Lonchura striata: one gene and its partners. The protein of the gene in region 2 purifies or fractionates together with the protein of the main gene of each other region. This does not show direct contact. Links are inferred from orthologs where the notes say so. Each region holds a gene or a part of one and is shown on either strand. Other genes may lie near its edges. The genes, in order: DOCK1, GRB2 and PTPN6.

Region 1 (7,847 bases), on a different chromosome or scaffold from region 2:
CAGGATCAATTACCAGCTCTGAGTGTTTGATATCAGTAATAATTAAGTGTGGCACGGGTGCAAAAGTAAAATTTTAGGATTCTAGATGAGGGGTCCAAAGGGGACAAGATGGAGGAAATTGGGTGTGCCTTGTCCTTTTTCTCCTTCTTCATGCCCTCCATGTCTCACTGTGGTGTTGGCATTTTTCTGTTGGTTCAGGCTGGGGACACACTGTCCAACGTAGGTGACAGATATTGGCACGTTCTTGTAAATGCAGCCCAGGGAGTTTCTGGTATTTAATGTTTGTCACATCCCACTGAGGGCAGAGCCCCACACGCTGCCCTGAAGGACAGAGCTGGGCAGGGCAGCAGAACATGTGAGAGATAAACAGAATAAACAACCTGGAAACCAGCACAGACCAATTATGGCTTCTGCTTTGGCAGCGGGGCTGAGAGACAGAGAATTTCTACAATCTGGGAATCATCAATACCTCAGATTCTGACACCTTGTAAGCTGCTTTTGGGAAGGCCCTAAATCATTGCTCCATTAGTGCAGGAGAACGAGGACAAGCCATGGCTTTGAGAACCTTTTGATGTCCTCACTCCTGGGCAGAATGAAGAAAGGTGCAGCAGCTGGCTCCAGCAGCCCTTGGGATTCTGCAGGACAGCTACAATAAAACCTGGATGAGTCTGAACACGTTGGTGATTTCCTGGGAAACCAACCCCAAGGGTGGGAAAAGGGAAGGTACATGAGAAGAGGAGCAGACTCATTCAGGGCTCTGAGCACTTGATCTCAAAAGCTGACAGCAAAAGTGCTGTTGCAGAAAATAGTCCTTTGCCATCCACACTACACAAGAAAATAAGGAGAAAAAAGATTCAACCCTGGATCTATCTTAATCCTTAAATTTGTGCTAAAGGGCTTCCCCTTTGTCAGAGGACTAATCCTAGCAAATGACAGCCAGTCTGTCATTTCACTTCTCTTTATTCCTTTTAAGTGTTAGCACTCTGCTGTTTCTTGACTTTTACACACTTTATTTTCTATTTCCTAAAGGCTTTAAAATTTATTTATTTTTTAAAGCACAGTCCTGGATGTCTCCAAGACGACAGGGATGTGGAACAGGAAGTTTCACTTCCCTTGCTTATTCTTTTGTAATCATTTATTCCACACTTAATTAAGCAGGAGATGCTAGATTTGGACAGGATTTTGGACTTGGGTCTAGAAATCAGAAGGTTTATAATCTTTAAGCTGTGTCCAACCTGGCCTTGGACACTTCCGGGGGCAGCCACAGCTGCTCTGGGCACCCTGTGCCAGGGCCTGACAGCCAAAAATTCCTTCCCAGTATCCCATCCATCCCTGCCCTCTGGCAGTGGGAGCCATTCCCTGTATCCTGTCCCTCCATCCCTTGTCCCCAGTCCCTCTCCAGCTCTCCTGGAACCCCTTCAGCCCTTGGAAGAGGCTCTGAGCTCTCCCTGGAGCTGCTTCTCTCCAGCTGAGCACCCCCAGCTCTTCCAGCCTGGCTCCAGAGGAGCTCCAACCCTCGGGGTGTATCCATGGCCTCCTCTGGACTTCCTCCAGCATCTCCACGTCCTTTTGATGTTGGATCCCAGGGCTGGAGGCAGCTCGGCAGGTGGGGCAGAAGGACAGAATTTGCCTCCTCCATACTGGTGTGGGATCAGTCCAGGACTGGAGGTTTTTTCCCCACACGGTTGGGGCATGTCCAGCTCTCACCAGCAGAGCCTGAGCCCTTCTCCCAGGGCTGCTCCATCGGTTCCCCCCATCGGTACCGGGGCTTTTCCCGGCCCAGCTACAACACCCGCACTCGGCCTCGCTCGACCCCAGTGTTCTTCTGGCCTCACATCCCGCTCCAACCATCAAACATTCCAAAAACCCTTTGTTTTAAAGCTGCACCTCCGTGGAGGATGCAGCCAGAGCCTTTGGGGCAGAGCACGACGGGGTGCACCTGGCACACAACCAGGGAGAGGCAGGGAGGTGCCGGGAATACAACCGGGAATAGGCGGGGAGGTACTGGGACATAACTGGGTGCACCTGGGACATAACCCAGAATAGGTGGTGAGGTACCAGGACACAGAATCCCAGAATAATGAGCTTTGAAGAGACCTCTGAGATCATCAAGTCCAACCTATGCCCTAACACCACAACCAGACCACAGCACCAAGTGCCAAGTCCAATCTTTTTTAAACACAGCCAGAGATGGTGATTCCACCACCTCCCTGGGAAAACAATTCCAGTGCCTTATTACTGTTTTGGTGAAAATTTTTTCCTAATATCCGACCTAGACCTTCCCTGACATAGCTTGAGACTGTGTCCTCTTGTTCTGTCAGTGCTGCCCGGTGGAAGAGACCGAACCCCCGATATAACCGGGTACACCTGGAACTTAACCGGGTACACCTGGGATGTAACTGGGAATAGGCAGGGAGGTACCGGGACATAACTGGGTACACCTAAAACACAACCGAGACTAGATGGGGAGGCACCAGGCACACAATGTGGAATAGGCGGGGAGGCACCCGGGACTTAACCGGGTGCACACATGGGACACAGCCGGGTACACCTGGGATATAAGGATATAACCGGGTGGACCTGGGACATAACTGGGTGCACACATGGCACACAACCGGGTGCACCCGGGATAAACAGATATAACAGGGTGCATCTGGGACTTAACCGGGAATAGGCGGGGAGGTACCGGGACATAACCGGGTGCACCTGGGACATAACCGGGTGCACCTGGAACATCACCGGGAATAGGCGGGGAGGTACCTGGGACATAACCGGGTACACCTGGGCTATAAGGATATAACCGGGTGCATCTGGGACTTTACCGGGTACAGGTGGGACACACCTGGGTGCACCTGGGACATAACCGGGTGTACCTGGGATATAACCGGGAATAGGCGGGGAGATACCTGGGACATAACCAGGTGCACGCATGGCCCACAACCGGGTACACCTGGGATACAAGGATATAACCGGGTGCAGCTGGGACTTTACCGGGTACAGGTGGGAACAGCCGGGTGTATCCGGGCCAGGCGGAGCGGCAGCACGCCCAAAGGCCGGCGCCGGGCGTGCGCTCCCTTTGTGCGGAGCCGCGGGCGGAGGGCGGCCGGGCCGGGCCGGGCTGGCTCCGCCCGCACCACATGACTCCGCCGTCGGGAGAAACTTTTCCCGTCCCGCGGTCGGAAAATGGCGGCGTAGGGAGCGGGGCCGTGGCATCCCGGCGGCTCCCGGCGCCATGACCCGCTGGGTGCCCACCAAGAGGGAGGAGAAGTACGGCGTAGGTGAGGACGCGCCTGTTGCGCACCGGGGCTGCCCCCGGCTCCGCGGATGGCCGGCGTGCAGCGCCGCGTTCTCCTCCGGTTCCTGCCTCCCCCGCCCTCCTCCCGGCTACTTGAGGGGTTGTCTGGGAGCCAGGGAAAGTTGCCTTTCTCCCTGGCTGCGCTGCTGCCGCTCGAGGTGTTTGTTTTCCCGGCGGCTCTCGCTGCCCGGCCGGGGCGCAGGCAGCGCGGTCCCGGCTGGGATGCTCGTAGGGATCGGGGCTTTCCTGCGCGCCGGGATCCATTTCCTACCCCGCTCCTTCCGTCCCGCCCGAGCAGAGCAGGATTGTTCCGCTGCCGGCCCGGACATCCCCGCTGGGACTCAACCGGACCAAACCCCGGTGAGGTTCGTGCTTCTCTCGGCACGAACCTCCCGAGTTTAACGATGTTGCGTTCGGAGCAAAAGGTTTTATTCCGGCGGTGCGGCGCAGAGAACTTTAGCGGCATGAATGAGCGCTTGTGTGGGGGAAGGAAATAATAAATTGGACTATTCAAATTGGAAACGTGAAGTTCAATGCCCGCCGCAGTTCTTGGGTTGGATTGATAGTGAGGAACAACTTTTCATAGAAACGCACAGCTAAACCTCATCGACAAAGCGAGCAGGAAGAAGGGAGTTTCTGAGGCTGAGTAAAGCCTGAGTGAATTGTGGGAATTAATTTTAAATCCTGTGTGTGTGTCCCTAGAAAACGACAGCTTGGCTTTTAAAAATGACTAGAAAAATCCTAATTCCAGTGTGTGGGACCTGTGGGTAATTCCAGCGCTGAGGATGCAGGACAAGCGCGGGGAAGCAGAAGTGCCACCGATGGCAGTCGCTTGTTAAGTTTCCAAATTTTCTGCCGGGTGGGGTGGGATGGATATTTCGGAATGACTGAATTGTCACGTAGAATGAGCTGATGTTAAAGCCAGTGACACTCGAAAGCAAGTTCCTCTTTTGCAGGAGGGCTGGTGCTGTGGTGGGAGGGACTGCCCAGGCCCAGCTTTCCAGGAATGTCTTGAAATTAATTTGAAAGTGGCATGAGAGAAAAAAGTGAAATAGATTTGTTTCGTAACATAGCTTCAGTGTACTTACATCTCCAGTGTGGGGGATTGCATGTGTGCTAAGAAAAGTGGGTTTAAATGTAATTTAAGGGTAAAAAACCCTTCCCAGTTTGAAAAAGCCCATGCAACGTGCCTGGTTGGTATTTTTTGTGTCCGCTGCTCTGCAGAGGTGTTTGCTATGGTTTTATAGTAGATTTATGTTTCTCTGATAGTTTGTTTTCTTTTTCCTGCAAGAAGGGAGAGATCCTCACCAAACGGGGATTTCTCTGCTGCATGACAGAGATGTGATGTGAGGGTTGAAAGTGGATGAAGTGTCACAAGGAGATAAATTTAGAGCTAATTGAACATTGGATTCACTGCCGGTGCCATTCTGTTATAGGCTTCTTTGGGCAGAATAGCTTCTTTTTGGTGTCCTCTGAAGAAAATGAATATTCCGTTTGGTTCTATGTGTTTTATGGACCTTTAAGAAAGCACACTGTGAGTCTTCTGATGTTTTAGCTTTTGCAGGTTGTGGGAGATGGAGAAGTTGATGCAACAGTTGTGTAGTCCCAAACAGAATTGGAGACAGCACTGTTAACCTGAAAATTCAGACTTGAGAATATTTTTTTTTCTATTTGCCATGATTAGTCCTGGGGTTGATGTTGACTCAGTATTGTCTGCCAGGGAGAAAATCCCTAATAGAAATGCTAATGGGACTTAGTGAAACATAATGTGCAGGGCTTTGGGTGTCTCATCAATCCATGCAAATATCTCCAAAAGGATGGAGTCACTCCAGTGGTGCTCCGTGGCAGGGTGAGGAGCAATGGCTGTCAACTAAGCCAGGAGAAGTTCTACCTCACCATGAGGAAAAACTTCTTTCCATGAAGGGTGGCAGAGCTCAGGAACAGCTGCCCAAGGAGGGCATGGAGACATCCCAACCCGCCTGGGTGTGTTCTGCTGCAGGTGGGATGGAGTGGATCATCTCCAGAGTTGCCTTCCAACCCCAAATATTCTGGGATTCTCTGTGCACGCTTCCCCAAGCAGAAATATTAGGAAGGTGTGTTGTGGCTATGTTTATTTCACAGCAGTGGGAACTCAGAAATGTACGTATGTCTGTATGCAGAGTTGTGTATATAGAAAACACACACACGTGCTTATATAACACATTTAAATCCCTTCTCCCCCTCCTCTGGTATATCCCTGTGCACAACAGAGTTTTTGTAACATCTCAAGAGGCGAAGATCCGCTGGCTGTGGTGCAGCTGGAGGAGTGATGCCAAGGAGCCTGTAGTGCCAGCTGGTAGGACACAGGTGTGTGAAGGAGCGCTCCCACAGTGGGATTTGGGGATGCTGCTGGATGCCCTGCGTGCCTCTGAAGTGCATTTGCTGCCCTGAGCCTCTGTGCAGAGGCATTATCTCAGCAGGCAGCTGGAGAGTGACTCAGCTCCGCTTCCTGAGCGAGTTCAGGAGGAATGGGTGTGGAGCTAATGGGATCATAGGGACATCAGGGTAACCTGTGGGGAGCCAGGCGGAACGGGGGCATCATCAGCTTCCTTGGAGGAGCTTTTCCCTGCTCCCCCTTGCTCCTCCTTGGCCTTCATCTCAATCCTGCCTTTCATCCCTCGCCCTGAGCTGGTGGGGAGGAGTGTGGCTCTGTGGAAGGGACCTCATGGGTGTGTGGCTTCCTCCACGGGGACATCAGAGGGTCCTGAGAGCTGTTTGTGTCCCCTCAGTGTCACACAGTGGCCATGGAGTGTGGCTGCTTAGTCTCTCATGCCTTGCTTTTAGTGTGATGTGAGATTTGTAATTTTGGTGCTTTTCCTTCTCCTGGGGAGAAGGGATGTAAGGAGCTGCTTTGGGAGGTCTGGGAGCCTGGCCAGCACCTCTGAGACAGTGCACAGTGCCTGTGGTAGCTTCCAAATCCTGAATTCTCCTGTTCTTTGCCCCTTTTCCTTTGGGCTGAGAATGCAGTGAGGTAGAACTGCTGCTACTGTGGATAAAAGTATGGTTTTTAAAATGCCTTTGTGTTCAAAGGTTTATGTTCGTATGGAGTAATCAGACCACTGCTGTGGTAGCTTTTTTTTTTTTTAAACTGAGTAAATGGTGGAACAGAAAATTAATACTATGTGCCCTTGGATGGTGAGGTGTAAAAGGAGAACTCTTCCCAGTTACAGAGCTTGAGTCCCCATCCATGAAGGGGTCCAGGGAAGGACTGGATGTGGCACTCAGTGCTCTGGGCTTGGTGACAAAGTGGAGATGGGGATTGGACTTTGACTTGATGGTCTTGGAATTTTTTTCCAAATTCAGTGAGTTCCAGTATTTTTGTTTGTTCCTGGTGAATTTTTCTTGTGTGTCATGACTTGGCAAATAATACCAAGCCTAATTTTAGGTGGGGACATTGGCCACACTTCATGGTCAGGGTGTTGTAGTGCCTCTCTGAGATTGGGAAAGCTTTTCCAAAGGGGTTTATGGAAATACCTTCACACCAGGTACACAGAAATGTATACATTTTATTATTAGGGGAGCTCTTTAAGGAGCTGGTGGACTAAGGTGGTGCAATGATCATGATTTAAGAGTTTTGTAGCTGAGTTTTGCTCTTGTAATGTCTCTCTGAAGGGGGGGGATAAGGATTTGTCAAGAGGAAATCCTACAGCTGAGTGCTGCTGCTTCTCTTCTGCTGCTTCAGGGAGGACTGTGGTGCTGTAGGTCAGATTTAAGGCTTTTTTGGAACCCTGGAGTCACAGTCCAGGCTGTGGGGAGCTGTGGTGGCATGTGGAGACTCTTGTTTAAGGTGATGATCTTGTGCATATTTGTGCCTCAGAGCAGGGAAGGAAACATTTGAAGGAGATGGAGAAAGATGCATCTTTGGAATGAATCTTGGTGATTTTAGTGGTGGTGTGCTGGGAGGTTTGGAGCTGCCTGGCAGGACAGGACAGGTGACTTCTGTCAGTGATGGCAGGGATGTGCTGTGACACATCCCAAGCCTGTGGAGCAAAAGTGGAAGTGTAAAATGTGTGCATGGAAGATTTGCTGCTGCATTGATCAGAGTGTTGGAGTGAGCACATGCAGGTTCAATTTCTTAGAGCCATCCCATGGACACCCAGCTCAGGTTTTATTTGTTACATCCCTCTGCTGGGAGGAAATGATGAGAGAATTGGGATTGTTCAGCCTGGAGAAGAGAAGCTTTGGGGTGACCTCATTGTGGACTTACAGTGCCTGAAGGAGCTGACAAGGAAGATGGAGAGAAACTCTGCAAGGGATGGAGGGACAGGACAAGGGGAGGTGGCTTTAAAATGACAGAGAATGTGATTAGATGGAATATTGGGAAGGAAATTTGTTCCCTGTGAGGGTGGGGAGTGGCTGGGATGGAATTCCCAGAGCAGCTGGGGCTGCCCCTGGATCCCTGGCAATGCCCAAGGCCAGGCTGGAGCAGCCTGGGACAGTGGGAGATGTCCCTGCCATGGCAGGAGTGGCACTAACGATATTTATTATCCATCCCAAACCATTCCATGCTTCT
Region 2 (3,600 bases):
AGAGGCTTTTCTTGTTCAGAAACCACCTTTCCTTCCTAGAGCCATAGGAAAGCTTTTTTTATTTATGCCTTTATCAAAGGATTGAGGCCTGATGTTTACCTGAGCAACTGCTTTACTGTATAATTAAGAGTATTTTCAAGCTAAAAGAATGTCAGGAGGGTCATCCATGCAAACCCTGACATTAGCTGCCTGTGCAATCTGAATTTTTGTCTCTGTGGATGCTGTAATTGCCATGTGTGATTAAACTATTTGTTCCTACAGCATGGGTGCCTTAATCACTGCTCAGGAGAGATGGCAGTTGTCAAGGAACGGCTCACCAGGTGTGTTCTCTGCTCTGAGCTTTGGGAGCAGCTCTGCACGCCTCGGTGTCTGCTCAAACACTGCCTGGACAAGCTGGGGTGCATCTCTGGTAGTTAGAGAATTTCTAGATCAATTCCTCCTTGCTGGCTCCATGGTGTAGCACATGGCCCTGTCTTACAGAGAAGTGGAGACACTGACAAATTAAGCAAGTATTGTGCACAAAGCCAGCGTGATTTCTCCTCCAGAAACTCAGGGCCTCCTCCCCAAGGTGTTAACAGAGCCTCGATAGCAGAATCACAGACTCAATTTGGTTGGAAAAGACCACGGAGACCAGCGAGGCCAACCTGTGATCCAACACCTCGAGACCATGGCACTGAGTGCCAGGTTCAGTCTTTCCTTAAACACCTGCAGGGACGGTGCCTCCACCACCTGCTGGGCAGCCCGTTGCAGCGGTTCATAACCATTTCGGTGGAAAAATTCTTCCTGATATACAACCAGAACCTCCCCTGGCGCAGCTTTCACGCTGCGCTTTTGTCCTATGGCTAGTGGGCTGGAAAAGCCCGAGCCCCGCCTGGCTACGCCCTCCTTTCAGGTACCCGTGGCGGCCGGTGCGCGCCGCGCCGCTCGGCCGCCGCCTGTCCCCGCCCGCGGCCGGGGCAGGGCAGGTCGGGCCGGTGCTGCGCACGCGCGAGGCGTGCCCGCGCTGCCGGCGGGGCGGGGAGCGCGCAGGCTCCCGCGGAGGGCGCTGACAGCGCGGCTCTCGCGAGAGCTGCGGCGGGACCGGCGGCGCGGCGGGCGGGGGGCCGGGCCGGGGCCGGAGCGGCGGCTGAGGCGGCGCTGGAGCGGCGGCCGGGCCGGGCCGCGCGGGGCCGGGCAGGCGGCGGGAGCGCCCAGCGCTGCGCGGTGAGTCCGGGCCTGTGCAGGGCCGCCGCCCGCCGGGGGCCGTGCCGGGGCGGGGAGCGGGGAGGGCGCACGCTGAGCCCCCGGTGCCGCGGCCTGGGCCCCGCGGTGCTCCGCTCTCCTCGCTGCGCTCCGCCTCGGCGCCGGCCCCGTGTCCCGCCGGGCCTGGCCGGGTCGCGGGGGGTGGAGAGGATGCGGGCTCTGCCGGTGGGGGGGTGGTGGAAATGAGCTTTGGGCTCCAGAGGCGTCATCTGCTCGGCGAGATTCCCGGCTCGCGTACGGGCAGCACCGGGCGGGGGTCGCTTTTCTCTCTGCTCTAGGGCTGCGGCGTGTGGCTGGTCGTGGTTCTTGGGGCTTACCTTTTGTATTCCCCAAAACGAGTTCTGTAACTTAAGGCCGCTTCCAAAGGTTAAAATGCTGCAAGTACCCTGTAGGCAGGATAACATCCCTGCTACACTGTCTCCAAACACGTTTGGGGTCATGCTTCAAACGTGCGTTTCTGTGACGGAGAAGGACATTTTTCTCTTGGCCTCTTCCTTCTCTTCTGAACCTCCTTCTTCAGAACCAGTGCTGGTTTTGTGGGACAAGGTTTGACTTGCCAATATAGTTTCAAATAATCTGTAGAAGACAAGGATGCAGCCTTGTTAACTCCCACAACATCTGACTCAGACACCTCTTTTATAACCTACAGTGAAAACTATTCTGTAGCACAGTTAGTAACTGCAAGAGCAATTCACAGATACAGTGCTTAGGGAAGTTAATTCTTTGTTTCAAAAATTATTAAATGCCTGGGGTCAAGGGACAAAATCTGAAGGACCACAGATGGTTAATCAATCTTCAAACACAGTGTTGTTTGTAATCCATTTCTGTGCCAACTTTGGAAATTTAGAATTTGTGCCACAAAAAGACCTTTCAGTTGTTATCATCTCTTAGGTTGATTGTCATGCCATATTTGGGTGTTTCATCATACCAGCTAAGTTTGTAACTTTTAAAGCAGTTTTACAATGTTTAAAATAAGAAAAAAAAAAAAAAAAAAAGAACTGCCAGTAAATAAATTCTGGCAGAGGTGAAGTTTTCTGTGCTTTGTACTGTAGCTTAGTTTTGTAAGTAATATCTTGAGTTGTCTGGTGCTGAAGGAAGTTGAATCGCATTAAGCTGGTAGATCAGGGGGATAATTGTGATCCTGAATGTTCTGGGGTTTATATGTTAATAATCTAATTTATATTTTACTTTGTTCCTTTATTATGTTATACTTCCTTATTTGGTTAATTTGAATTAGTGTTCTGCCCTTACAATTTTAACTTTCTATTCTTTTGTCTAGAGCCTGACACTTGCATTTCTGCATGTCTTCCCGATGATGTATGCACACATTTTTCTTTCCAACACCCTCAATAATGTTTTGTCCTAAAACAGTTGATGAAGTTGAGGATCTGATTCTTTCCAAAATCTCCTAGTGAATCTATCTTGCCTCTCTTTGGCTTTTCTAAACTGTCTGTTGTTCTATTCCTGCCTGTATCACTTTCCAGAAGAGCAGTAAAACAGTGAAAAGAGAACAATGAGAAAGCTCTCTTTTGTTTAAAAACCATGCTGTTTCTAAGAGTAATGAAAAAAGCTCACCTTTGCCTGTGTGCTTTTTGAAATATCTGTTGAAGTGAGCATGAGAATTGTTTCCTGTTGGCCACTACAGGGAGGTTTGTATTTATAATTACTTTTATTCCATCCTGAGCTGCAGCACTACTACTAATGAGCATTTACTGTTGGCTGCATCTGCTGCCTTTTCTTCCTCTTACCCCTCCCAGTATTTTTAAGAGCAAAGGAAGTCTTAACCCAAGTCACAGTAAGGTGAGAAACACTGATATTTTGAGAAGTCTTAGTCATTTCTCTAGCAAGATCATCTGAAAATTTTTGTAACATGTAATCATTGTATTCATATATTGGCTGTTATTCATTCATACCAGTCTTACTCCACTTGCAGTCTGTGGACTGGGTTCACTGCAGTAACGTGTCCTGTTGCACTGCTCTCTGCCTGAACCAGATACAGCTGTGCTTTTTTCCCCACTCACGCAGTTGGCTTGCTCATGTTTTAATAACAGCATGGCTGAATGTGTGTAAGAACTTATTTAATAATATTGTAAGCAGCAAATGCTTCCTTAAGAGAATTTAAGGGAATTATGCCTTGGCTTTACCTTTCCTAATATTTGCTGTGTGAATATCTTGGTTTAATATTTTCAAAGCTTTTCCCTCTTTCAGATACAACTTTAATGCCTAAACTTCAGCTACACTTTTGTCTAAAGTCAGGAAAGTTAAAGTTTTGCTGCACACTGCAGCTGCTGTTAACATTGTTACCTGGAAACATCACTCCTTTGTATGCTGACAATATATCTGATGGTGGTAGTAGTA
Region 3 (7,847 bases), on a different chromosome or scaffold from region 2:
GCCAGAGCAGCTTCCCATTCTCCCAACACCCCTTCAGATGCAAACAAAGCGTTCCAGGTCCCTTCCTGAGCAGCCTCTCCTGCCTGCGGAGGGTCCGGTCCCAGCCATCGGGGTGCAAAGCACTGCAGGACTGTTTGCAGGACGGTGGCTGTGCTTTCCCCAGCTGCCGGGAACGGGCACGGCCATGAGGTGCGAAGCACCAGCAGACTGTTTTGGAGACTGCCATCAGCACCGTGACCCCTCTGAGCCCCGTGGGGAGAGCTGGCGTGGCCCAGCGGTTACACTGCGTCCTGGGACTGTCTGTAAAGATGGTGGCTGCCCCTTTCCCCTCACCCATCCTAATTGATGTACTTTAACTCATGCACATCCTATTAGACGTGGCAGTTTTATGTAGCAACTTGTGACTCCCTTGCCCCCGCGTGCGTGTTCTGATTTCACAGTTGTATCTCTCGATTGGTCCCCCATATATTATATATATTTACTTAACCATTAAAGGAGAAAACAACCAACAACCCAGCTATGGAAAAGAAAGAAAAACAACCACCCAAACGATGTTCCCCACGCACTCCCAAGCCCTGACACACATTCTAATAATTTATATATATATATAAATATATATATGAAGCTCTTAAAAAAGGAAAAAAAAAAGACAAAAAAACCCTTTCAGAAACGGGACTCTGGTGTGTTCATTTCTTTCCAGTGGGGCTAGAACGGGAACGGCAGAAGCACTCCCGGTGAAAACTGGGAGAGGCTGGAAGCGGGCACCGCCTCGGGAAAGGCGCGGCGGCGCCGCGGGGAGGGGCGGGGCGTGCGCACCGCGGGCCAATGAGAAGCGATAAATTTGCATACGGGCCGGGCGGCACGGCCGGGTCCGTTCGGCGGCGGCGGAGCCGTCGGTATCGGCGTGGAGCGGGGCGGGGGGACGGCACCCGGACGGGGGCCCACGGAGGGGCTCGCAGGAGGGAAAAGCGGACCTCGCCCTCACCTCGGGGTGGGTCGGCCGGGAGGGGCTCCTCGGTCGTGGCGGAAGGCGGGCAGTGATTTCAGCTCTTTTAGAATTTGTCCAGCAGGTTTCCCGCGCTGGCGGGAAGCCGCTCCCACCGCGGTGCAATGGCAGAACGGGGCGGGGAGGCGCAGCCGCGCTCGGGCCGCGCCGCGCCGGGGCCGCTGCTCGGTCTGGCGCCGGAGCCGCGGCCGCCCCGCCGCGCCCCATGGCGGCCTCCGCGCAGCCCCCGGTGCCGCCGGCGCTGAGCGCGGAGCAGGCGAAGGGTGAGTGCGGGAGGCTCCGTCTCCCGGGCGGGCCGGCGGCGGGGCGCCCGTGCCGCCCGGCTGGACGCGGGGGGCCGGCGGGCGGCTGAGCGCTCGCGTCTCGCAGCGGTGCTGGCCGAGGTGATCAAGGCGTTCGGGGCGCCCGAGAACGCGCAGCGCATGGAGGAGGCTCGGGACAACGCCTGCAACGACATGGGCAAGATGCTGCAGTTCCTCCTGCCCGTGGCCACCCAGATCCAGCAGGACGTGATCAAGGCCTACGGGTTCAGCAGCGACGGCGAAGGTGGGTTGTTCCCCCGCCGGGCGGGATGCTCCGGGCCCGCCGGGGCAGCGGGGCCTCCCGCCCACCCCCTTTCCTTGCAGGCGTCCTGAAGTTCGCCCGGCTGATCAAGTCCTACGAGTCGCAGGACCCGGAGATCGCCAGCATGTCCGGCAAGCTCAAGGCCATGTTCCTGCCGCCCATGACGCTGCCGCCGCACGGGGCCGGCACTGGCGGAGTTGCCGCCTCCTGAGCCCGCGGAGTTCTCCCGGTGCTCCGGCTGGTGCCCTCCTTCCAAGGTGCGGGTCCTGTCAGCGCTGGGAACGGAGCACTTGAACAAGGGAGACGCGATCCTGGAAGGAATGGGATGTTTCGTGCCCCGCTCGTGTGTCTGCTCGTGAATAAAACGTGTGTTGAAAGTGCCCGTGTTCTATGAATGGCCGTGAGCTCAGCAGTGCTGCTCCCTGCTGCAGAGGCAGGTACAGCAGTGCTCTCTGCATGACACTTGCAACGCTGTTTTGGAAGGCCCAGTATGTGCCATCTTTTGCAAAAAGGTTTGTGCAGAGCCTCAGTGTGAAGCCCGAGGATCCTATATCAGAGTGACAGGTATTAAGCACTTTACAAGGGCAAGCATTTTCAGACTTTCTGTTTGAAGCATACTGGGAAATGCGTCCCTCAACACAATCTAGTGCTGTTCAGCAAGTGTTGTAAATGCCATTGAGGCTCCTGTCCCAGCAGGGTCAGTGCTAATTTACTCCTGCCCCCAGTGCCTGTGGCTGCCTTGTTTTGTGGCTGAATGTGCAATCCAGCACATTATCCTTAGTGCAAAAGGCAGCAGAGAGCTGCAGCAGGGAGTGTCCGAGCGTAGGAGGACTGGACTTGCCCCATTTTGCTGCAGCCTGGATTAGAACAACATAAACAACATACAATTTTTATCTCACGTTTTTTCTTGGACTGCAGAGGGATCAACCTAGTGGTGCAGCCTTGCTCCTTTGCAATATTTTCTTTCCAGTGTGGTTCAGAGGGACACCAAGGATGTCCGCTTGTAGCCTCCTGCCCTTTGTCCCTGTTGCCATTGGAAGAATTGAGTTATTTGGCGACAGAAGGGGGGAGAAAAGGGCTGAGCGTGAAGGAGCCAGGCCTGGGAGAGCAGGGAGCCAGGTGTGAGCGAGCTGCGTTCTGTGCTCCCGGTTACAAACCGGGCAGGAATGCAGCCAGCGAGGGCGTGAGCTCAGTGGATGGGAGGCAGGAAGAGCAGTCGGTCCCTTCCGTCTCCATCTACCTCTCCGAGCTTGGCCTTGGCCTTCCCCCACCCCTCTGATTATTCATTAACTACAGTCCAGGAAGTGCTTTGCAAATGGTGAGAATTAAGCCCGCGGCTTGAGGCCTGAGGTTTGCCTGACCTGGAGCTATCAGTCCGCCTGGGAGCGGGCGGAGTTCGGGGTTCGCCGGTGCGCGCCGGGCTCAGGTGAGTCACGGGAGGTGCTGCAGCCGCAAGCAGCGCCGGCTGCTGCTCAGCGCCCCGGCACTCACCGCCATGAGCATCCAGGCCACCTCTCCCCTAGCAAGGTCTTTGATCTCTCCCCCAAGTCCCTTTCAAGATCTTTTCTTGGTAATTCCAATATTGCTTTATTTTCTTTAGTGGGACCCACTTGGTTGAGGGCTGTGGTACTTCCTCCACCAGCTCCTGTCAGTCCTCCATCAGTGGGGATCTGAGAGACAAGACCCTGATGCCATCCCGTGGGTGAGTGCTGTGAATGCTAGTTAGGGCAAGAAAACAAGAGTTGCTGGTGAGAAAAATAAAAATAGCAGCAGTAGGAATCAGACACAAAAGGGAAAACCCCACAGTTTTTAATAGGAGCTGTCTATTAGAGGTAGCCAGAGGGCTGACTCCTCTGGTAGAGGTAGCCAGAGGATTGGAGCTTGCTGTGCTTTACATTTTTCCTGTTGCTCCTTCTCCCTTTGATAATGAGCAAACAGGGTTTGTGATGCCCAGTCTGCTGCAGTTCCTCTGCCACCCTGCAGCATCTCTGAATGGTTTTGCAGAGAGAGATGTCAACTGCCTGGCCTTTAAAATACTAGTCACTCTTTTATTTGCTGCAGTCTATCTAGCCCTTTATGGAACAAAAAGCAGGACATACAATCCTCACAGTCGGTCCAAACAGGTACCTTGCTCTGGAGGCTGCTGTGGAAGGGTGTCAGGAAATGGGATTTGCACTGGCATGGCTCTCTGGTAAGAATTTGGGTAACCACAGTGGTCTAGCACTGTGCTGGAGCCCCAAGGCCTGATGGAGAGCATGTGGCTTTGGCAAGTCACAAGAAGATGGTCCATCTGCCCGTCCCCAGGCAGCCTGTGCTCTGCACTAATGCCTGAATTACAGCAGACTTCCGTACAGAACAGCAAAACCTCCTGTCTGAAATCATCTCCATAACACATGCAATGCTCATTCTCAAAAAGGGCTCCAAATTAGCTCCCCCAAAATGTGAGGGAAGCATGGAACAATAAAGTTATTATCTGAGCAAAGGATGCACAGTATAATGGGGAAAGCAATGAATATGATAATAAAGAAAACACCAGCATCTGCTTTTGTAAAGGCAGATATGGTCCTGTAAAACTGGAGGGTTTTGAGGGACTTAGCAAGCTTGTGGTCTGGCCAGTACAGTTTGCTTGGATTTAAAGAATTTGACAAGATTTTCTCATCAAAGTCTTCAAATAAGGCTGAAATCACAACATTAAAAAAAGAAGGTGAAGGTTTTCCTGGGTAAAGATTTATTAGAGAATAGTAAATGGAAGGTGGGAATTAATATCCCATTTTTATAGCAAACGGAAGTCATCACTGGTCAGATCACAGGGGTCTTATCTGAAATACATGCTGTTCAGTATATTCCCAAGTTGCCTGGGAATACAGCTTGGTGAGGTGAGAAAATTGGATGATGATAGAAAGTTATTGAGGATAACAGGGTGGGAGTTGACTTGTGAATAATTTCAGAAAGACCTAATGATTGAGTGGGCAGTAGAACAGGAGATGAAAAGGCTTATGTAAAACAATGTTCATACAGAAAAATAATAGAAAAATTGCATATGCAACAATGACTGTGAACTAATGATAACCTCTCCTTGATTATAGAACTCCATGCAATTGTTAGCTTAGTGCTTGGTTATAGTGAACATCAGAAATCATCACTGTCCATGATTCACCAGCATTTTGGACACCACAGCTCTGTGCCCACTTTCACTCTTACCTCCAAATCAAAATGCCAGAATTGGAAATATCTCTGAGAGGGACAGCAAAGGTGGTCAGAGGTATAGAATAGTTCTCTACAAAAAGAAACCCCTTAGTAGGCCTGGAGTCTTCATCCTGGCAAAGAGTTGAGGATGGATACAGATGTTTCGGGTCTGTTACCATGAGCAGCTTGGAGCAGGGGGTGAGAAACAGGAATCGCCCAGATTTTTCTTTCTTTACAGCAACCAGGTGTTAAAAAAGAGGCAGGGAGCAGGTTATAAGCAAGTCAAAGGAGGGGGTGTTTCTGTAACTGAGCAATAGAGCTCTTTGCCAAAGGGCACAAAATTTGTTGTGCATTTGACAGTTGACTACAAGTAGCTGCTAACAGAGGCTTAGGAAGTAGGAGGGCAAAAGAAACTCTGTGCACAGTCTTTCTCTCTGCTCTTCCTTTGACAACCATTTTGACCTCTGGATTGCCTAGTCCCAGCCCTGCAGCTCCAAAACTAGCTCAGGTGGCTCAGGGCCTGAATGCTGACAGTGGCCAGGGTGGAGGTTCCTCAGCTGCTCTGGGGACCTGTGGCAAGTGCTGAACCCCCCTGGGGCGGAGCACATGTGCAGTTTCTCCTGATACCTAAGCAGAATTTCCCTTGCTGCAAGTGATGCCTGTTGCCTCTTGTCTTTATGTTGTGTCCCACAAAACAGAACCTGACTCAGCATCTCTAAACCCCCACGTTCCCTTTTAGGTAGTCTCAGAGAAGTGTTAAAGCCCTCCTTAAACATTTTTTCTTCAAGCTGAATAAACCCAGCTTGCTCTCTGCTATGCTCCAGGCTCTTCACTGCATTAGTGGCATTATGCTGGATCCTTTCCAGTTTCTCAGGGCCTTTTTTTTCTTGTAGAATCCAGATGTGTGTCTTTTAATTAGCTATTTCATTTATCTTCTGCTTTAAATTTTGTTACTGTGCTAGCTGTGGCCTGCTTCCCCAAGGGATTTACAAGATGAGGTTCTAACACCTGTGTTGTACTGAAAGCCAAACAGTGTAAGAGTAGTCTCTTTGCTGAAATCTCTTGACCTCTTAATTATATTAAAAAAAGTGGTTTAGTGGCTCAGTTATAGTCTTATTATATTTAGTGGCTCAGCTGTTCCATGCTGCAGCCATTTGGGAGAACAACCTTGAAGATACTGACTGATGGCTTCTCTGTGGTGACATTTCCTTTCCTTACTGGTAGTTTTTAATTAGATGGCCCAGATCAAACACACCAGGGCAGCTGTATGCATCCACTCCTTTCCTAAAATGAAAGCAAGCAGAAGCATAAAGTCATCCTATAAATTATGTAATATGGGATTTTTGTCCACAAAAATACTATCAAGAGATTACACTGCACCCTGTGGCTTGTCCTTCTGGAGGATACTGAGTTACATGGGATAAATGCTCTCTCACCCTTTGTTATTCTGGTCTGGGCTCTTTGCTACCTTTTTCTTTCCCTGTTCCTCTTTGTCCAACTAATGTTCAGTTCCTCAGACAGATTTTCTCCTTCAGTGTAGGGTGCAGGGGTGCCTAAGTTTTGGTTTTTGACTGCCTTGGCTTGGTATTTATTCTGCATACTCTAATATGCTTTTGATATTGGGAATTAATTTCTGGGACTGCTCCCTGGAAGTTCAGGCCTTTTCTCCCTTGGCTATAGACAACACTTGTTTCCTGTTCCTGCTAGACTGACTTAGGTGCTGTTTTTCTGGTGCAACTTCTACAACTTTGTGCAGAAATTCCCTTGAGTTGGTCTCATGCATTTAAAATGTCCTTGGTTTTTAATATCAGTTCTAAGTCAGTACCTCTGGCTGCCTGCAGCTCACCACACCCCAGCTCACCATGTGCATGAAACCAGAAGCATTTCTAAGGAAGCTGTTGTAGGTGCTTGGGTTGCCTTTCTAGCAATGAAGTTTAGCTTCCCACTCTTCTCTCCTGTACTTCCCTTTGTTGCTGGTTTCTGTCTTGGCCACGAGTTTTTGTCTAGGTCTTAGCTAGCAGCCTGTTCATCTTTTTGCAGGATTTCCCAGTCTGGTGGTGTGTGGGGAAGTCTGCTGCTGCTCGAAATGGGCAAGGCTCTTGCTGTTGCTATTGCTGCTGCCCACACCACACAGGGTAGCTGAGATGGCCCCAGGGAAAAGCCAGGCTCCTTTGCCAGCTGGATTGCACTCTTAGGCCACTGCTTAGCTCGCATTCTTTCACCAGACCTGCAGACCTTGAAGCCAGTCTTGTGGGCAGGGCAGTTGTGGGCCACAGCAGGAAGTAGCTATGTGACTGGAATGATTTTCCTTCTTTTTTTTTTGTACCTGGTTGTCAGCTTTGGCCTCAGTATGGAGTGCTGGGATTTTCAAGGTGCTCAGCTCAGCTCCCTCAGTGCTGTGTGGACTCTCTTTAGGTAGTAGCTGTTTGTCCTGGTCTCTGTCTGCCTTCCTGGGCAGCTGCACCACCCTCTCCCAGCCTTCCCATCCCTTCTGAGCTACTGCTGCCTGTGTCAGTCCCATCCCATGGCAGGCTGGTTTCAGGCAGGCACTGCTGTGCTCAGAACACTGGCCTGGACCTTGAAGCCTGCAGCTCTGGATTCACACGGATTCCCCTCTGTGCCTGTACAGAGCATGTGGGAAATTTGGGACCATTTGTGTTGCTCATTGGCCTTTTGGAAGAAAAGGGGAACAGGGGACGAGCAGAACTGAGTTTTGTGAACATGGCCAGAATCTAAGAAGCATGAGAAGAGTCAGCCCTTGTGTGCTAAAGGCAGAGACCCAAAAATAATAGGGGCTATGGGGAGGAAAGACGCAAAAGGAGAAGCAGAAGTGTATGCAAAGCAGCCTGGGGCTGCGGAGTGGATGGCTCAGAGCGCTTCCTGTTCCCGGAGCCGTGCGTGCCCCGCTGTGTACGGGCTCGTGGCCAGCAGCACTGCACAGCGGGCCAGAGAGCAAGGCACCTGTCCAGGAAAAGGTGGATGGAGAGGGTCTGCATGGACTGACTCAGCTCCAGGAGAGATACATGGCCAGCTCCCAAGAGGCACAGGAACAGTTTGGCATTGGGTGCCCCGGCACAGACCTCCGACTTCC

Evidence for each region.
Region 1: the proteins of GRB2 (region 2) and DOCK1 purify together in Homo sapiens (affinity purification with mass spectrometry; 5 studies listed by BioGRID and IntAct, counting the BioPlex papers as one, with this or other methods). This does not show direct contact. The link is inferred for Lonchura striata from reciprocal best matches to the Homo sapiens genes GRB2 and DOCK1.
Region 3: the proteins of GRB2 (region 2) and PTPN6 purify together in Homo sapiens (affinity purification with western blotting; 4 studies listed by BioGRID and IntAct, with this or other methods). This does not show direct contact. The link is inferred for Lonchura striata from reciprocal best matches to the Homo sapiens genes GRB2 and PTPN6.

Annotation. Positions count from the first base shown.
Region 1 is NC_134609.1:30,111,251-30,119,097, forward strand, and holds the start of DOCK1 (dedicator of cytokinesis protein 1), read left to right. Parts: upstream 1-3,121; 5' UTR 3,122-3,232; coding exon 3,233-3,278; intron 3,279-7,847. UniProt on the Homo sapiens protein: Involved in cytoskeletal rearrangements required for phagocytosis of apoptotic cells and cell motility. Along with DOCK1, mediates CRK/CRKL regulation of epithelial and endothelial cell spreading and migration on type IV collagen.
Region 2 is NC_134621.1:5,254,929-5,258,528, forward strand, and holds the start of GRB2 (growth factor receptor-bound protein 2), read left to right. Parts: upstream 1-1,159; 5' UTR 1,160-1,203; intron 1,204-3,600. UniProt on the Homo sapiens protein: Non-enzymatic adapter protein that plays a pivotal role in precisely regulated signaling cascades from cell surface receptors to cellular responses, including signaling transduction and gene expression.
Region 3 is NC_134604.1:29,794,606-29,802,452, forward strand, and holds the start of PTPN6 (tyrosine-protein phosphatase non-receptor type 6), read left to right. Parts: upstream 1-2,690; 5' UTR 2,691-2,996; intron 2,997-3,170; 5' UTR 3,171-3,258; coding exon 3,259-3,272; intron 3,273-7,279; exon of another isoform or gene 7,280-7,847. Other genes in the region: C2H12orf57 (protein C10), read left to right, coding at 1,212-1,269, 1,376-1,552, 1,633-1,781. UniProt on the Homo sapiens protein: Tyrosine phosphatase enzyme that plays important roles in controlling immune signaling pathways and fundamental physiological processes such as hematopoiesis.